Tamandua tetradactyla: one gene and its partners. The protein of the gene in region 1 interacts with the protein of each later gene in a pairwise test. Links are inferred from orthologs where the notes say so. Each region holds a gene or a part of one and is shown in the gene's direction. Other genes may lie near its edges.

Region 1 (3,748 bases):
CAACCAAAGGAAATACAAAAGGCACTGCTCACAGTCAGTGCTTAATGTTTGTGGAATGTGTGATGAATGGGTGAACAGATGACACGCTGTGATCTAGAGACAGGAGGCGTGTCTACTTCTGCGGATGGGTGTTGGGGGCATTGGGAAAGGCAGCGAACTGAAGAAGAGTACAAGGGGGAGGGTGAAGGCACAAATGGCATTCAAGACAGAGGAAAGAGCACCTGGAAAAGCATCAAGACATGAAAGAGCAGGGTGAGCAAGCATTGTGGAATGAATGAAATGCAGGGTATGAGTGTAGAAGAATGAGGAATTGAGACTGGTGACATTACCAGAAGTCAGGTCAAGGAGCTTTGAAAGTCAAATTAACGTTAGAGATTTATTCTGAGGGCAAGAGCTGGAAATGGCTTCAAGAGGGAAAGGCAGGACGTGAGGATAATTTCCAGATTTCTGGCCCAGCCCAGGGGATGGGGTTAGTGGAGCCACCGTGGAATCCAGAGGGGAAGAAAAATGAGTTCAGTCTAGATGACCTGGGGGAGGTGGTTTCCAGGAGACAGCTGGACTCTTCAACCTGGGTCTCCCTATCCCTGTACAAGCACCCTCCACTCCCACCTATGGGAATCCTCCATCCTTCACTGTTTGGCCAGAGCCACCTGCCTTCTGCAGGAGACCTCTTGGTAGTCCTAGCCTTTCTCCGTACCCCCCTGACTCAGTGCCTACGTCCTTTATAATGGGCAGCGAGCCCGATTTCGCTGTGGTCTGCCCGGCAGCAGGGGTCCAATTAGTCACTTCTGGGTTGGTTCCCAGAGTGAATTTGCGTGGAGTAGAACAAGGCAACTTCAGTTCAACAATCAGTCAAGAGTCAAAGCCAGATAAGAAAAAGGTGGGGAAAAGGGTGGGTGGGACGGTGACGTAGGGGGCGAGAGGGATTCCTTTTCAGAAAAAGCAACAAGCAGAGGAGAGCGCAGGCGTCGACTCAGCCCTCCTCCCCTCCCCTAGCTGCCTTTGTACAGAATCTAATCTGTCAGAAGGGGGCGGATCAACCGCGCCCTCCTTCCTTCAGGAACCATAAAATGGCCGTAGGGGGCCAAGGCCGTGGGGAGACGAAGTGAAACCTGGGCCTTTAAGGCACTATTTGACCTGTGTCGCCTGCCATCCCGCAAAGAGGGACCTCAGAGCGCGTCCGAGCCTGCGTTACCCTACTGCTTTACCTGATCCCTTCTGGTAGATGCCGCCGCTGGCCACGGACGCCTGGAGAAAGAGTGAGGCCGGGTGGGCGGTTGTAACACACCCGGCCGAGAAAACACACCGCGAAGCGCCCGCCACTCTCTGCTCCGCCGCCGCGGGGCACCCTGGGAGCCGCCCGCCGCGGCGCATGCGCCCTAGATGCGCTGCTCTCGCGCGAGGTCTGGAGAGATCTCAGCGCAGGCGGCGTAGCCATGGTGCCGGGAGGTGCTACTTGCAGCCGGCTCCCTCGGGTTCCCGGGTGTTAGAGCGGCGAAGGGGTCGGTATGGGGCTCACTTGGGGATGGCTGAGCGGTATGACAGATGGAGAAACCGAGGCCGGGGGTGGAGGACAGGCCTTCGGAATTTCTGGGCTCTCACCGGCGCTCTAGCGGTGTGGAGTTTGTGGCTGGTTGTTGGGTCGCAAAGCGGGCGATAGTGGCACGGGGCGGGGTGGCCCGAAGATAGCGGCAGAGGCGAGGGTTCACCCTGGAGAGAAAGTCAGTGCAATATCCTGTCTTTAGTATAAAGGAGAAAATAAACTAATTTGCAGCGGAAGACAATATTTCTCTGTGTAAAGGCTCAGGCAGGGTTACTTCAAAAGATGCTTGTACTTACAATGAGGAAGTGTGGTCTTAATATAAGACAGCGTTCACGTAAAAATTGTCAACGTTTCATATTTGGAATTTTGAATCAAATACTAAGTGTATTTGTACCAAGCGGGAATCACTGTGTAAGCTATGAATACAGACATGGGCCGGTGGACCCAACTGGTGAGCAGGGTGAACAGGCATTTTCCAGAAAGGTGAACAAGGCCAAGTAGTACTTCCCTTAACTAACGTGTTATGTGCATTCCTGAGTAATACAGTATATATTAAAACTGGGAAATAGTTTACTGTATTTATATATAAACAGGTGTTAGGTCTTTTTGCTGACATGAAGCTCTTGCAGGACCTTTGAAAGTTGTGCAGGACAGAGGACAATTTGTTGTGGGGAACTGTGCTGAGCATTGCAAAAGGCCCAGATTCCTGCTCGTGGATGCCAGCAGTGTTTCGCCTGTCTTGTGACACCTCAGAACAGAGCTCTTCCCTGGATAATCACTGATTTGTTCAATCAAATGATAATTTTTGCCAGCAGACTGTGTCTTGGTGGAGAAGTATAGTGTGGTGAACAGGACACAGTCCTTGTCCTTGAGAAGCATATGCAGATGTTAGTGATACAGTACAACAAGTAGCTTGACAATAAGGGCAGTCAGGACAGGGTTGGAACACGCAAGAGGACCCAGCCAACTGGCAGGGTGGTGAAGGGCCTGGGAAAGCTAGACAAAGAAGTAGTGTTTGAACTGAGCATCACACAGAGAAGGCCGGTGTGTCAAGCAAAGGGACCATTAAGACTATGACACGTCCAGATGGCCTGGCACCCAGTAGGCATCCAGTAGAGGTTTTGAATGATTAGATGAGCGATGATTGAATGCGAACATGGGATAGTCGTTGGCAGGAAGCCATTTCCCACTGTATTGTGAACTGCTAAAAGGGAAATACCTGCTTCCTGACTCCCCCAGAGGCCAGCACCAAGTCGGGACCCAGAGAAGGTGGTGGCAGCAAATGGATCCAGACAAAGAAACAGAGCTGTGTATCCCTAGCCTGGGACTGATGTCCGGGAAGTGGGTCTCTACTTCTCTGCTCTGGTAGAAGGCAAGTACTAAAAATACAGCTGCAGTGCTGTTTAAATGTTAGAAAAAGCAGGGCAGGGGTGGCCTCTTATTTCCACATCTGTCATTCATCCATGATCTGGAGGCAGAGCATGTTGTCAGCAAATGGTAACTTCTGAGGACTGTGCTAAGATAAAGAGCTCTCAGAGTGGGTGCACAGTGGAGAAGGCCACAGGCTGAGGGTCCTTTCCCCCAGAAATCTCTCCCTAGAATAATCCCTGTCCTCCTGGGATGGTGGTGATTTCTGCCTCAGCAGCCAAGCTAGAGCAAGGATCTGGAACTGGCTGCCTCCAGGAGCCAAGCGGGCCATGCAAATCAGCAAAGGGCCAGGGGGCTATTTGGGGCAGCCCCTTCTGAAAAGCAGGCTGCTGCTCACCCTTACTGGGTATTGCCTTGCACAACTCCTGCTCTTGCGTGACCAAATATTTTGATTGTACAGGCTAGAAATGAAGATTTGTGTATGTACAGATTTTTTAGTATTGGCACTAATTCAGATATATATTTTGGCAAGAACCAGATGAAACACATTTGTAATCTTTGGTCTGTGTGTCCATACCAGGGAGTTGGGTGTTCGTAGGACATCACAGTTTTACTTTACAAGGAAAAGAGTGGAAGTTCAGGCAGAATGTAATGCTTCTGGCAATATTGAGATAATTTTCATGCTAGGCACTAGAGGTTCCACAGCTAATGAGAAAACCCAGTTCCTGTCGTTTTGGGATTTCCAACCCAAAGTAGATGGACGGAGAAGTAAAGAGACAAATGTATCATAGACTAATCAATAAGAGTAAAGACTTGCTGGGGAAGTACAGAGTAGTT
Region 2 (3,748 bases), on another chromosome or scaffold:
TGGGTGGAAAGGGCTCCCTCCTGGGCCTGCTGGAGCAGTCCTCACGGTAGAATCTCTGGACCAGCAGCATCACCCTCACCTGGAAGCTTGTTAGAAATGCAAATTCTCTTGGTCCCATCCAGACCTACCAAATCGGAAACTCTGGGGGTGGGGCCCAGTAATCAGTGTTTTAACAAGCCCTCCAGGTGATTCTGGGGCCCAAAGAGGAGGGGAGAACAGAAGAATGGAGAGAGTAAAGAAGGGCCTCTTCTTTAAAGCCACCTAGAACCCTGCCAGCCTGCCCCGTCCCAGGCTCCCTTGCAGCCTGCTGTGGGCTGCCCTGGCCTCAGGTGACACAGGGACTAGGCTGGCCTGAGCGAGCTCTGGCGGGGGAGAGCTCCCAGCAGGAGCTGATGGCCTGAGCGGCAGCACAGGGTAAAGCCAGGAAGGTTGAGAAGCGCTGAGAGCGGACCAGCACCCAGGGTAACTGGGACCAAAATGGGCACAGACCCCACCTTTCTTGCACACTCCCTGGGAGCTCTCCCCAAAGGTGTAGGTAAGGCCATACCCCAAAAGGGAAGCCAGGAAATCCCATAGAAGCCTTTCAAGCTTGGGGCCGAACTAACTCTTCATTCACCCGATGCGTGCTTCCGTTGTGTGTGTCTCCAGCTCAGGTCTGGGCTGCTCTGGCGGGGGGTGGGGGGTCGGATAGTACTTGTGGTCCAGGAATTTAGTGAGCCAATTGACCGTGTCCAGCACCCTCTCCCTACCTTCAGGCTCCCAGTCTTCACAGCTGCCCCAGTCTCCCCAGCTCCATCCCACATCATGAACCGCAGCAGATTTGAAAAGGCAATAACCACCATGCTCTGGGGTGAGTTAGGCCTCAGGCTGCCCACCTTCCATCCAGGGCAGGAGCCAGCACCTGGGGAGGTGCTGATGCTATGTCACCCTGAGAGGTGAGGGGAGCGAGGGAGCACCACTCTGCCCCCACGCCCCTCTCTCACTTCCTTCCCAGGCTGCGAGCTCAATCAGGAGAAGCCAGCCTGGACCTTCCAGCCCCAGCTGGCGGGAAAGCAGGACTGTAAGCTGATGCTTAGTACGGTGGGTGCCCCCCAGGCGAGGTGAGAAACCCAGCCTCCTTCAGAGGAGGAGGTGGGATTGTCCAGTCCAAACAAGTGAAAACGGGGTTGCCCCCACCTGCCCTCAGGGTGATGAGGTCCCCCTGTCTGCGCCAACCCCTCTCAGATCTGCCTGGGGGAGAAAGCCAAAAATGAGATGAACCTCGTGGAGGTCCTGCCCCCAGCGAAGGAGTCGCCGGTCACCATTGCCTCGCTCCAGGCGTCCATCCTGCCCATGGTGAGCCTGCCCTGCAGCCCTGGGACAACCTCTGCCCATCACACACACGGGGGCCTCGCTCTGGCCACACCCCCTGGGTACGGTGTGGCCCTGGGACAGGCGCAGCCGTGCTGGAGAGGCAGTACAGCCTGGGACTGAGGGCCTGCACCCAGGAAGCTCCCCGTCCAGCCTCACCCATGACCAGTCCAGTTAGAGAACCTCTCCTCCAAGGTCACGTTTTTGTGCCACTTAGTGCTGGTGACGGGAGCACTGGTTTGCATATTGATTGTGTACCCAGAAATTCTCTTATTAATTCTAATAATTTATGTTGGGTTTTCTCAATTTATGCATGACCGTTGTTTGTGAATAATGGCAGTTTTTGTGTCTTTTTATTTGTTGTCCTACTCTACTGGCTGGGACGTCCAAAATCATATTGGATACACGTCATAATCGTGGATGTGCTAGTCTCATTCCTGATTTTAAAAGGGAATGCTTCTAAATCTACCAAATATTTCATATTCAAGTCAGGTTAAGGAAGTCCCTATCCAGACCGGCTCTAGTTTTTTTTTTTTTTTTTTTGCTTGTTTGGTTTTTTTAATGTGTTTTTTTATTTCTTTTTAATCATGATTGGAGGTTACAGTTTTTTTCAAACGATTTTCTATTGATGTGACTGTGGGTCCTTCCTTATTTAATCTGTTAAAGTGGTGAAACACATTAATAGAACAATATTCAACCATCTTTGTATTCTTGAGTTAAATACTACTTAATCATATTATACACCTCTAGGTTTGCTCTGCTAGTAGACCTTTTTTTTTTTTTTTTACTTATATACTCATAAGTGAGGTTGCTCTATAAATTTCCTTCATCTCCTGTTCTCTGGAGCAGTGTATATAAGATTAAGATCACCTGCCCTTGAGGGTTTCAGAGAAGCTCTCTGTAAAACAGTTCTCAGGCCTATTTTCTTCCCTGTCTGCACACTCCTAGGAGACCTCATGCTCCCCGTGTTTTAAAGACCATCTATAAAATGAGAACTCTGAAAACTCCATCTCTACACCCAACTCCTAGAGCTCTGGGTCCTATATACATACTCAATATGTCTAACAGATACCTAGTAGTTCCCAGACTTAACATAACTAAATCAAAATTCTTGATTTGTATCTAAAATCTTTCCCCCAAGCCTGATCCCCTCAGTAAATAGCAGGCCTGTCCTTCCACTTTGTCAGGACAATCACCTCTTTCTCTCAAACCCCGAATCTGAACCCGATCCACCAGCAAATCCTGTAGGCCCTGCTTCACGATGAACCCTGCACTTCCCAGCACCTGCCCTGCTATCCCTGCTCCAGGCCCCATTGCCTCCTTCTCCAGTCTACTGCAGGGCCTCCCAACCGTCTGCCTGCCCTCACCCTGGTTCCTCTGTAGTCTGTCCTAGAGGGTGGAAAACTGCAGGGATAAAGCCAGCCCATTGTCTGTTTTTGTAAACAAAGTTTTAATGGAGCCCAGCATGCATGTTTGTTTATGCAGTGTTCATAGCGGCTTTCGGAGTTGAATAGTCTGGACAGAGAATATATGGCTCATGAACCTAAAATGCTTACTGTCTGGCCCCTTACACAAAAGTTCGCTGACTCCTGGTCTAATCTCTACACAGCTGCCAGAAGGATCCTTTTAGACACCAATCAGGTCTCTGTTGCTTCTCTGCTAAAGCACTTTGGTCATTGGCTTCCCATTTTACTTAGAATAAGATCCAAATTCCTTACCGTGGCCTCCAGCCCTTTATGTTCTGGCCTTTAGCAACTTCTCTGACCTCAGCCTCTCCTCCTCTCTCCTCCCTAACTCTGTTTAAACCACACTAGCTTCCTTGACAGTACCCTGAAAACTCCCAACACTCCCTCTTCAGGGTCCTTCCAATTCCTGTGCCCCATGCATATTCCCTTGGCCTGCTCTCCCGCTTCAATCCAGTCTTTGTTCAAATGGCATCTCGTCCAAGAGGTCCTCTGCAACCTCAGACAGCATCCTTTCCTGAGGCCCAACCCACAATCGCTTCTCCCTCCCCAGCCAGGGCCCACAACTAACACCGTTTCTTATTTGTTTTTAATCATTCTCGCCAACCAGAATATAAGCTCCAAGAGATCAGGGATTTTGTTTGTTTGTTTGTTTGTTTGCTGCATTATCCATAATACTTATTTAATACTGCCTTGCATCTTGTAGGAACTCCGTGTCATGAATGAGTAAATAAATGAATGAACTATGTGGGGCTGGTATGTCTTTAAACTGTCGTAATTTGTCTAATGGTTATAGGTGTACTCAGATTTTTCTAGTTCTTTGAGGCCATATTTTTAACAGTTTCATTTAGATGTGATTTATATACAATAAAGTTCACCAGTGTTAAGTGTGCAGTTTAATGAGTTTCGACAAATGTATGTAATTGTGTAACGAC
Region 3 (3,748 bases), on another chromosome or scaffold:
AACCTCTGCCATTCTCCCACTTCTGCTGGGAATTATTTCCCTCCTTGTAAATCCCAGTGAGTCCTTCTATTCCAGGCCCAACACCTCTCACTTCTACAGTGAAATCTTGCTGATCCCGGTATGCCCTCACCCTAAAGTGAATGTTTTTCAGGATGCTGTCTCACACCTCCACTCAACTACCCTATTCAACATTCATTCATACAATAGTCACTTAGTAGCCACCCACGATATGCCAGATCCTGCCCTGAGCTCTGAGAACGTCAACTATCCTTTACTGAGCACTTACTAAGAGTCAAGCATGTGCTGAGAACTTCCTGTGCATGGGTTTATGAACACCCCTAAGGTACCGGTATTCCCCCTTCTACAGATCTGAAACAGAGCACAGAGAGCCTGCACAGTAATGAGAGACTGCGCAACACTATGAACTCTGTTGTTGTAAGCACTACTCCCAACTACAGTAAGAGAAGGAAACAGGGATCCAGAAATGGGTAGCCGGAGGGCGGGAGCGGGTCAGATGGGCTTCCTGCAGGCGACGGCTGAGCGGTCTGGAGGAATGAGCAGGAGGAGGCCGGGTAAAGACCTAGTGTGGGGTTTCAGGCCAAGGGGGCTGCACGAGGGAGAAGGCCCGGTTCCCCGGACTAGGTTCTGTCTTTTGCGTCTCCTTCAACTTTCCCTCCGTCTGGCACAGGGCAGTCACTCGTGAACTCACGCAGGAGGCGGACAGCTCTCCACTCACCCTCGCAGTGCCCCGGGAGAAGGGGGTGGGGGCAGGGCAGAGCCCCGCCGGGATTCAGGGGCCACCCTCGGATGCCCGGCCTCCCCTCCTTGACGGTTCCCTCTCCCACCCGACCGCGCGCCCTCTAGGAGGCCGGCCTCCAGGCCCTATGACCACCTTACCCCGGAGGCCGCTCCCTGACCCGCCGCAGCCTCTCCACCTGCCGACACCACCACCTTAACGCCGGCTTGGCCGGCAGCAGAACCACCCGACAACGCCCCCTTGACCTGCCGGAACCGCCCTCCGACTTCCGGTAGCGTCACTTCCGCAGGGATTTTGGCCGTGGTGCGCAGGCGCGCGGGCCGGCTCCAGCGCGATTTCTGCGCGGGGAAGCCCTGGAGGGCGGTGACGGCTGCGCGCGGCGGGCGGCAGCGATTGCACGTGTTCTCCGTGGCCGGTTGAAATCGTTGGCGGGTGGCTGCTGAGAGGTGAGGGGCGGTGACACACAGGCCCGACGGAGGAAGTAGAGGAGCAGTGAGTGAAGAAGGGTCGGGCGGTGTGGCTGATGGCTGCATTCCCTCTTTTGGCTTCCACCCTGGGAAGGAGAAGGAAATTCATTCACATCTTATTCGGACTGGGGAAAAGTGGAAGGAGACCTGGACCTAGGGCGACCTATTCAGTCCCCGTTTTAAAACTGAAAGTCCTGCGTCCCGGGAACCCCCTCAGTCCTGGGCATCCCAGGGCAGCTGGATCCCGCTTAAGGCGGGCTTCGGGCTTGCTGCATGTTGGGGGCGGTGCTCTTCGGAGTCTCGGGGAGCTCGGTCCCCAAGGAGGAGGCCTCAGGCATTGTGGTTAGAGCACGAGCTTAGGACCGGATTCATTTTGTGTGTGTGTGACCAAATTACTTTACCTTCCTCATGTGCCAAAAGGGAACGGTACAGAACCTAACGCACTGGACCGTGGTGAGGGTTAAATGGGCACAGACACGTTAACCACCTGTGAGGGTGACAGGCATATAAGAGTCAGGCATTTTTCTGCGGCGCCTACCCCTGAGGAATGAGATGGGGTGTGCCGTTGCAAGCCTGTCTTCCCCACCTGTATAGCACAGTGCCGGGCACATGACAGACTTCCCCAGACGGTTATGAATAACATGACAGTAACATGTAATAACATAATATGAGATGACGGGATGCCAGTAATGCAGGTGATATAATGAGGAGGATGCTGGAACTTGGAGGTGGAGACACATGGCTTAATTACTTTGTTTCTCAGTTTGCCCGTCTGTTATGTGGAGATAAATGTCCTTTGCATGGTTCAAGGGGGAAGTCCTGTGTGAGTGCACGTTGTGACCGACCTCACCTGCACACGCTAGGGTTTAGGCAGGGTGGTAACAGTGTGTACTTGTCTGACCTTCCCATGAGTCACATGCTCTAGGTGTCGTGGAATTTTACCCTTGGAAGAGGCTTGGGGCTGGCGTAATTGATTTGAGCCCTTTTCTCACTGATGGGAGAACTCAAGATCAGAGTTGATGGTGACTGGGAACTGCTTGGCTGACAGGACCAAGTGTCCTGTTTAGGGGTGCTGATCTAGTTTGGGTCTGTGTGTGTGTGACTGTTTTAAAAATAATGTTTTTTAAAAATTATTTTCATTAAAAAATTAAGCAATACAAAAATGAGGAAGGAGAAAAATTAAAAAAAAAAAAATCAATGTGAATCCCAATCACCAGAACCAAACCAATGTCATATTCACAGGGAACAGTCTGGTAGGTGCCTGTGGAGTCAGGAGCCAGAGGAGACAGGAATAAGACTGCCTCTGGAGTGAATTTTTAAAGTTGGATAGGTTGATTGAGGGTCCTATTTAAAGGAGCATGGGTTTGGGAGGTGACTGGGTACAATAGTGTTGATGTGCAAATTGATAAATAAATCACAGAGAAACATTTCTATTGTTGGATAAGGATGAAGCTTTCACATCTGATATTTTACTTAACTCTCCACATAGTGCTCTAAAATAGATATTAGACCCATTTTACAGATAAAAGAATCAGATTTGGGGAAGTTAAGGTTGCTGAAGGTCATTGGGGTTTTAATTGGCAGATGCAGGCTCCAGCTCAGATTCCCTGGCCCCAAATGTGGCCTCCATCTTGGTGAGAGGGGATAAAAGTGCCTACAGTCCTTCCTGAGTTCCCAGCCTCTTGCTAGCTGCTGCCCCTCAACTAGTTCAGCATCGCTATCCAATACCCTACATCCTTAGCTGTGACACGGATGGTCGGCCTCCTTTCCCAGGGTGGTTGTCTTTAGAATTAAGATTTAGGGTCCTCAAAATTTTTAGTGGAGGGTCATCTTCTAGAGCCCTTGATTTTTTTTGGATGAGCAACTGAAGGTTCCCAAGCCGAGTGACAGCCAAGCACATGGCCAAGGATATGACAAGTCATTATGGACAGGCAGTTGCAACATAGTGAGCCGTTTTGTAAGTGATGGACTATAGTTAATAGTACAGTTATAGAAAGGCATTTTCATGAATTGTAACATGTATCACACGAATGCTAGGTGTTAACAATAGGGCGCTATATGGAAACTATTTTATGCAGTAGTTCTGTGAACTTATAACTTCTCTAATAAAAAAGAAAAAAAAAATGAAGAAGCAGGGGCTTGGGGTTGTATCCTGGCATTACAGGCCACCTCTGCTACTTTCTCTGACTTCAGGTAACGAAACTTTCTGAGCCTTGGTTTTCTCTCACTGGTGGTAGTTGTGTGATCATACCTGTCTTGGATGTGGTGGGTGTAATTGTGGTTGTAAATGTGAAACACTCTGAGCACATCTCTTTTCAGCCCCACCTCATTTCCTTCTCAGTTGTGGGAGCTCAGGAAATCAAATAGTCTAATGAATAGTCATCCAGAAGGGTGTACAGAGGACCTGGTCTAATCTGAGTGGGGGCATTTGGGTGTATCTGGATGCCTGGTACCCAAGCATAGCACCTGATGCACACTGAGCACATAGTAAATGATTGCTGAATTAAGTTATAGGGATGAAAAC

Evidence for each region.
Region 2: the proteins of SDCBP2 (region 1) and NPM2 interact in binary tests that used the Homo sapiens proteins (3 or more experiments, as listed by UniProt). The two-hybrid records come from large-scale screens. The link is inferred for Tamandua tetradactyla from reciprocal best matches to the Homo sapiens genes SDCBP2 and NPM2.
Region 3: the proteins of SDCBP2 (region 1) and LYAR interact in binary tests that used the Homo sapiens proteins (3 or more experiments, as listed by UniProt). The two-hybrid records come from large-scale screens. The link is inferred for Tamandua tetradactyla from reciprocal best matches to the Homo sapiens genes SDCBP2 and LYAR.

Annotation. Positions count from the first base shown.
Region 1 is NC_135327.1:23,223,082-23,226,829, reverse strand, and holds the start of SDCBP2 (syntenin-2), read left to right. Parts: upstream 1-1,413; 5' UTR 1,414-1,525; coding exon 1,526-1,536; intron 1,537-2,782; exon of another isoform or gene 2,783-2,915; intron 2,916-3,748.
Region 2 is NC_135329.1:22,658,097-22,661,844, forward strand, and holds the start of NPM2 (nucleoplasmin-2), read left to right. Parts: upstream 1-804; coding exon 805-850; intron 851-994; coding exon 995-1,080; intron 1,081-1,224; coding exon 1,225-1,335; intron 1,336-3,748. UniProt on the Homo sapiens protein: Core histones chaperone involved in chromatin reprogramming, specially during fertilization and early embryonic development. Probably involved in sperm DNA decondensation during fertilization.
Region 3 is NC_135345.1:8,752,458-8,756,205, forward strand, and holds the start of LYAR (cell growth-regulating nucleolar protein), read left to right. Parts: upstream 1-1,072; 5' UTR 1,073-1,249; intron 1,250-1,255; exon of another isoform or gene 1,256-3,181; intron 3,182-3,748. UniProt on the Homo sapiens protein: Plays a role in the maintenance of the appropriate processing of 47S/45S pre-rRNA to 32S/30S pre-rRNAs and their subsequent processing to produce 18S and 28S rRNAs. Also acts at the level of transcription regulation.